Cricetulus griseus: one gene and its partner. The protein of the gene in region 1 interacts with the protein of each later gene in a pairwise test. Links are inferred from orthologs where the notes say so. Each region holds a gene or a part of one and is shown on either strand. Other genes may lie near its edges.

Region 1 (2,891 bases):
TGATAATAATGACAATCTCAGGGCTGAAGAGATGACTCAGGTTAAGAGAGCTTGCTGCCATTTCAGAGAACCCAAGTTCAATTCCCAGCACCCATTACAACCTCCTGTAACTCCAGTCCTGGGGCATCTGACGCCCTCTTCTGTCCTCCTCACACACCCATACACGTGCATTCACACACACACACACACACACACACACACATCCATATTCACATAAATAATAAAATATTTTAAAATATGTAATATATATGCGCATATATTTTGGCCATGCCATTTCCTGGAAATAATTCTATTCTAAGGGTTCTGCTCCTAAGCTAATGTAATTTTATTTTAGTCATCAACATGCATATAAAGGTTTTTACATAAAAATGTTCATCGCATGGCTAAGGACAGTTCTATTGCTGCTGCCCAGCCCATTACCCCTTGTAATATATTCAGAAGTCAGCTTTTCTCCCACAAAATATTGTTCCTCATAGAATTATGTATAAGGGAGAAATTTGGTCCTAAGGAGAACATTGAGCTGGCCTTGCTCTCACAGGTTGAGACATAGCCACATGGAGAATATTGGACAGACACATAAATCATCTTCTCTGAATTTTGGAAAATCTTCTAATTTTGGAAAATGCTTACAACATAATGTTGACAGAGACGGCAATGCAACACCCACCCCATCTATTTCCACACAGTCTTAGTTAGGGTTTCTATTGCTGTGATGAAACACTGTGGCCAAAAAGCAAGTTGAAAAGGAAAGGGTTTATTCGGTTTACACTTTCACATCACACAGTTCAGCATCAAAGAGAGTTAAGACAGGAATTCAAACATGTCAGGAACCTGGAGGCAGGAGCTGACACAAACCATGGAGGGGTACTGCTTACTGGCTTGCTTCTCATGGCTTGTTCTGCCTGCTGTTTTTTGTTTTTTGTTTTTTTTTTATAGAACCCAGGACCACCAGATCAGGGGTGGCCCCACCTATTATGGGCTGAGCGCTCCTCCATCAGTCACTAATGAAGAAAATGCTCTATAGGCTTGCCTACAGCCCCAACTTTTTCTTCTCCCCAGAGCTGAAGACCTAACCCAGGGCCTTGCACTTATTAAGCAAGTGCTCTACCACTAAGCCAAATCCCCTACAACCCAGTCTTATGGAGGCATTTTCTTAATTGAGGTTCCCTCCTCTCAGATGACTTCAGCATCCGGCACATAGACATAAAATAGAAACAACACAAAAAAGAACATCACAGACATTAGCAAATAACTCTTTAAGACTTGGGGTAATTTTCATTTCCTCATGCACGAATTTCTAAGTATTTCCAAATGTTCCTTGATGACTTATATGCTTCATTGGGGTAAATAAAGTAGTGTTATATGTTTATCTCTGTACCTGAAGAAATTTTCCACATTTGCTGTTTCTTTGAGTCTCTACTGACTCCTGGAGGTTAGCAGGAACAGGGCTGAAGGATAAACAGGAGAGAAAACTAAATAGGTTTTCTCCTGTCATGCCTCAAACTACAGAAACTACTGGCCCCCAAGAATAGCTCTGTGGTCTGCACTTTCACAAATTGAAGCCAGAAATAATGGTGCCTTTGTCTGTTTCTTTGCATCCCAGTGTCGCCTCTACGACCTGCGGGCAGATAGAGAGGTCGCCATCTACTCCAAGGAGAGTATCATATTTGGAGCGTCAAGCGTGGACTTCTCCCTCAGTGGTAATGTTTTATTTCCGAAACTTCTCCAGGACTGTAGGACTAGACCTAAAAAGCAAACCGTCTCTCTGCCTACCTTCCCATCACCGAGCCTTCTGCAGGGCGATATGCTCAGGCCACATCTGACCTTCAGATACCCCTCCCTTCACCTCATCTGCTGGCCCTTCCCTTTGTGCTCTGAAACTCCCTGCTACCTTGCCTATAGCTGGTAGGCAGCTAGCAGAAGCCAAGCCAGCTCTGATGGGACACTCACCTGTTCTGAGTCTGCGCCTTTGCACACAAAATTGCAGCCACTTTATGACACCTCTACCCAGCTCAGCTGCTCAGCCCTCGAAAGCATGGATCACCTTGCTTTAATCTCTGTAAACTCAAGTTGAAGGTTTAATGGCAGGAGTGTTCCTGCTTCCTCTAAGGCCCAATGGAGAACCACACACACGTGAGCCTGGCATAGTGGCTCCTACCATGATGCTACAGTGATATTCCTCCCGTGCCTTTCACAGATGACAGTGACAGCTTTCTCTTGAATTGCAAAGGCAACATATATTGTCTGCCACACAGTGGGCCTAGATGAGCCTATATTTATTGGATGGATGGGTGGATGAGTGGATGGATAGATGGATGGATGGATGGATGGATGGATGGATGGATGGATGGATGGATGAGAAAGTTCATGAGTAACTAGGTGGGAAGATGAGTGGGTGGGTGGATGGATGGATGGAAAAGTTCATGAGTGACTAGGTGGGTGGGTGGGTGGGTGAGTGAGAGTGACAGTCAAGGAAGGAACAACAGAAAAATGGTGTAACCATTGTATTGTGTCTTCTGCTCCCAGGTCGCCTGCTCTTCGCTGGGTACAATGACTATACCATCAATGTCTGGGACGTTCTCAAGGGTTCCAGGGTCTCCATCCTGTTTGGACATGAAAACCGTGTCAGCACTCTTCGAGTTTCTCCCGATGGGACAGCATTCTGCTCAGGATCATGGGATCACACTCTAAGAGTAAGAGAGATGTCTCACTTTTCCTGTGTGAAAGGAGAGGAAGGACTGGTGGCCTTCCTGAGACAGGATGTCAACCAGCATTCTCATGTCTAGAACTACAGATGCCACGGGGGTGTCTCTGGGAGGTTAGGCGCTTCATCCACACAGGTGTTCAGAGAGACCAAGAGTTTCGGCATGGTGTTGAAAGAAAACTGGAGC
Region 2 (4,557 bases), on another chromosome or scaffold:
AGTTCTTTCTGCTTTGGTTGGGCGCCTGTGTGAATGCTCGCAGCTTCTGTGCGCTCGTTTTAACAACCTCCCCCTGGGGGCGCTCGCGCGCCTCATACCCCGCACTCTCCAGCCCTTACCATGTCTAACCCGCTGGACTGGCCCTGTTCCCTGGATGGCAAGTGTATCGACTAAGGATCCTCTTTCCCAAGAACGCTAACACAGGCGCTGCCCTCTGAGGCTCTGGATGACTTTATTCTTCAAATGCCTTTACCCTTCCAATAGCTCCAGGTGAGACTGAGACAGGCACCCGGGCACCCCCTCTCTATTGCCTGAACGGATCACAGAGGGAATCAGGCAGGATTCGGGCACATTAGCGGGGTCCATCTGGATGGAGTAAAAGGTGCTTGCAGTTGGCCTCAAAGGGTGAGGAGATGGGGCAGACAGACCTGGGGGTAAGGAGGGCTTGTGCTTGAACTAATCTCATGATAGGTAAGGGTAGACGCGCTGCTACAATTTCCTATCTAAGGGCGGGTCTCGGAGGGGGAGGTAAGTTCTGAGGAGAAACAGAACTCTTCAGAGGAGGGCACAGAAGAACTTCTTCTCCCGGAAGGGGTTTTCCGAAGTGGGCACAGGAGTGATGAGGGGGTCCTCACAAGCGTGGGCATCACAGTAAGTCATCAGGTCTGCTGCTGCCTTGGACACCTGGGGCACAGCCAGGAGGAGAAACATTAGCCAGAATTCCTGAAAGGGACTGCAGTTCTCTTCGCCAAACAGGCTGTCTTTTAGTTTCTAGTGCCCTTTGAGACAATCCTTTCCCCCCATCCCACAGTCCTCGGGAACAGCTTTGCTGACAATACCCAGTTTCCTCCTCTGGCCTCAGGGTGTCTAGAAAAGAAGCATCTTTTTTCAGGGGTTTGAAACCCTGCAGCTGAGGCCTGGAGAACTAATGGGAGCCAGGGTCGCACCCACCTTTATCCGGCACAAGCTGGCCTCAATCTTAAGCTGTTCCACCATCTTGCGTGCTTGGCCAATACTCATAGTGCTGTTCACAGGGGTCTCCCCTTTCATCCTGAAGGAAAGACAGACATCTCAGTTCTCTGCTGAAGGACTCAGCGCTTCAACAACCACACAGCTGCGACTGTGCCCAATATATTGTTCCCATATTATCTCCACTCTCCAGTGGCCATCCCATCTCTTTTTCTCAGTGGGGAGAATGGAGGAGAGATAAGAATCTCTCCAAATCCCTGTGTCCCAGTCACCAAACCATGCAAATGGTTTAAGGATTTCCAGTATTGAGCCAAATATGTTTCCAGCAGTGAAAGCCTCAGTCAGAACGAGCCCCACCCTGAAGAAATCACATCAGCCATCTGCCCCATAAGCCCTAACGAGAGAGAAACAGGCTGCTCTGTACTCACCTGAAATGGCAGGCGGCAGCCTGGGATGTAGGGTCAGTGGGGAGGGGGCACCAAACCTGCCTCAGGTAAGTGCCCCACCCTGCAGAGACGTGCAGCTAAAAATATCTGTAGCAGTGACAGCTAATGCAGAGAAGGTCACAAAAATGCGCAGACTGAAGGTCCTTGGGAGGGTGGTCTCAGTTACTGCAGCTCAAGCACTGTCCAGATGGCTGGTACCTGAAGGATGAAGGATGCTAGAAGGAGCTGCTCAGATTCTGGAGCGTACCAACTGCCTGGCCAGTGGGGGAGGTCTGGCTGCTCTTTGCATCCCCTGTGCACACCCCCACTGTTAGTATCTCACTACCTGCCCCTGCCCATTGTAGAAGTCCTTAGTCTGAACTAGAGCCCTCCCCAAAGGACCTGAGGCGGAAGGAAGCAGGCTCCCCTCTTAAGTGGGGTGGTCTGGGCCTGCCTGTGACAGCCCCTGCCGCAGAATCTGTACTGCTGTGGGAGACCCTGCTCATTTGAAAATCTGACATCAGCTGGGCTGCTGCACCCCCCCCCCAACTCTGACAGAGCACTCAGCACCCGAATCTTCGTTTCTTTCACAGTGACCCTCCCTCCATTCTGCAGATCCAGGAAAATGTGACACTCTACAGGTGATGAGCTTCTAGATCAGCACTTCCTAGCCACAAGTGACTTGAGAGGGGAGATCCAGGGGCCACAGAGGTAACCATCAGGAAGATATCTAAAGAAATGATACAGCAAAGAAGAGAAGCTGGGGGGAAGCAGACATGCAAAGACCAGATGAAAAAAGGATCAGATAAAGAGGAGGTAAGGGAGGTACGGAGCTAGGGCGAATACTATGGACCAGAGGGGCTTCCTGGAGTGGGGAGTAGGGTGGCAAGCGGTGGAGTTGGGGAGACAGGGAATTGATTCGAAATTTTTCATCTGATTTGAATAGACTGCTACTATTCAAAAAGATGTGCACTGGAGGACGCTGTCTAGAAGACGCCTCTAGGTTCAGAGACCTAGTCTCGTTTTTGTAGGGATTCTGAAGTTGGCTGCATCACGCGGGTCACAGAAGGTCGATCATGCAGCATAAAAACTGGACACTGAAAGGAGCTGAAATGCTCCTACGCTTGACTAGCTCGGGGACAGCAAGCCATCTGCGCAACACACAAGATTCGGGCTCAGGCAGGGTGCAAGGTTCTCAGGGCGAATGAGGCCCTTCCCCTCCACTCCCCTTGGACACCTAACAGGCCCAAGGAGCGATGCTGAATGAAAACAGCACCCCTTTCACCACCTCCACTCCACCCACCCCGCCTGCACTGGAACCGTTCTGGGGTGAAAAGGCCGGTGTTGAAGGTTTCGGCGGAGGGCCTCTAGAGGAGGACCAAAGGGACACTGCTGAGTCTCAGCCTGCTCCTGGGACTATCGTGGGTTCTGGATGGGGAGCGCGCTGTCCTTTTGGTGGCTGAACTGGATGAATGATCCGACAGGGACAGTGGAGAGCACAAAACAGGAGCGAGGCATCTCCTATAGGCCCTGCCCCCTGCGCAAGGGCCCCGCCCCTGCACGAGCCCTTCCCCTGCGCTTAACTGGCGATGACAGAAGGGGCGGGGCTTTCTCGGCAGCCGGAACTCCCCTCTCTAGGTTGCTTGGGCAGCCTGGGGCTGGTGAGTTGGGCGCCAGCCTCGCTGCGGTGGCCGGCGTCGTCCACCGCGTTCCCGCAGCAGTGGGCGCCCTCTCCGCGTCGCTCCGCAGGTGGGCCGCAGGGCGCTGTGCGGGGTAGGGATCACACCCTAGGTGAGCGAGCACAGGTCCAGGCGGAGGGGAGAAACTCAGGCGGCTGTTCGACCTTAGGCAAGTCTCTCATCTTGCAATTCCTGGCATTGAGGATCCTTGTCGTCTGCGCTTTGAGAGAGTTTTAAGGTTCTCATTCTGTATACGAATAATGCTGTGAATGTATCAAGGAGTTTTTTTTTTTTTTTCCGGGCTCCGGTGACTGAAGGAAACTCAGTGGATTAAGGTGAAGGAGTAATTGGAGGAGGGATGCTTGTGAAGCAATGACTTTGCTTTGTCCTGTCTCCAGTTCCTCAAAGCCAGTTTCATGAGTTCTCTCTCTCTCTCTCTCTCTCTCTCTCTCTCTCTCTCTCTCTCCCTCCCTCCCTCCCTCCCTCCCTCCCTTCCCCCTTCTCTCTCTCTTTATTGTCCTCAGCTCCCTGGGGAAAAATAGCTATTTTTTCCCCTCTTTCTCCAGGAACCTCCAGCTGCTCTATCCCATGGCCAAGGGTATCGTCCCTGTGGAAGACCAACCAGGAATTCAAAGCCTGAAGCTGGGGCTAGATCCTCTGCTGTCCCCATCATGGTCAATGACCCACCAATACCTGCCTTCCTGTGGGCCCAGGAAGTAGGCCATGTCTTGGCAGGCCGTGCACGCAGGCTGTTGCTGCAGTTTGGGGTGCTCTTCTGCACCATCCTCCTATTGCTCTGGGTGTCTGTGTTCCTCTATGGCTCTTTCTACTACTCCTACATGCCGACTGTCAGCCACCTCAGCCCTGTGCATTTCCACTACAGGTGAGAAGACTGCTCCGTTAAGGTTGAAAATTACCCCAAGGACTCCTGGATCACCCTCTGTGGAAAACCATTATTGATAGAGGATGAAACCTTACCCCAGGGTGTTAACAGGACTTCTCACCTCACAAGCCAAGGCTGGAGCATGTCTGGGCTGGCAGGGCCATAGAGTTCTAGATCTACCTGTGCTGCTAAATTCTGATTAGAAACCTAGAAAAAGAACCTGGTCACATCTGTAATGCCAGCACTTGGGAGACTGAATTGGGAGGATTATCATGAGTTCCAAGCCAGCCTGGGCTATAGGTTGAGACCTTGTCTCAAAAAGAATTAAAAAAAAAAAAAAAAAACAAAGACTAGAAAAAGAAAATTCACTTTTAGACTCTAGTAATTAACTCTGCTCTGTATAGGTTGCATAAAACCTTTTAAGTCACTGTAGAATTTCCAGCCAACTCAACCCCTTGGGCATCTAAGAATTACCCCGACTTTTAAAAGCACAGGAGGTATTAGGAAATAGCTCCTTTGCCTTTTAGTTTACTGCCACTTACCCACAATGGTCTGCACAGTAACAGGATAACTTACCTCCTAGAACATTCCCCTTTTACTC

Evidence for each region.
Region 2: the proteins of Gnb5 (region 1) and Gng3 interact in a two-hybrid assay, tested with the Homo sapiens proteins (2 studies listed by BioGRID, with this or other methods). The link is inferred for Cricetulus griseus from reciprocal best matches to the Homo sapiens genes GNB5 and GNG3.

The regions. Positions count from the first base shown.
Region 1 is NC_048597.1:186,596,969-186,599,859, forward strand, and holds part of Gnb5 (guanine nucleotide-binding protein subunit beta-5), read left to right. Parts: intron 1-1,603; coding exon 1,604-1,700; intron 1,701-2,526; coding exon 2,527-2,693; intron 2,694-2,891. UniProt on the Homo sapiens protein: Enhances GTPase-activating protein (GAP) activity of regulator of G protein signaling (RGS) proteins, such as RGS7 and RGS9, hence involved in the termination of the signaling initiated by the G protein coupled receptors (GPCRs) by accelerating the GTP hydrolysis on the G-alpha subunits, thereby promoting their inactivation.
Region 2 is NC_048596.1:51,247,966-51,252,522, reverse strand, and holds Gng3 (guanine nucleotide-binding protein G(I)/G(S)/G(O) subunit gamma-3), read right to left. Parts: upstream 2,948-4,557; 5' UTR 2,698-2,947; intron 2,211-2,697; coding exon of another isoform or gene 2,133-2,210; exon of another isoform or gene 1,988-2,132; intron 1,614-1,987; 5' UTR 1,398-1,613; intron 1,052-1,397; 5' UTR 1,051-1,051; coding exon 952-1,050; intron 685-951; coding exon 556-684; 3' UTR 216-555; downstream 1-215. Other genes in the region: Bscl2 (seipin), read left to right, coding at 2,133-2,210, 3,640-3,956. UniProt on the Homo sapiens protein: Guanine nucleotide-binding proteins (G proteins) are involved as a modulator or transducer in various transmembrane signaling systems.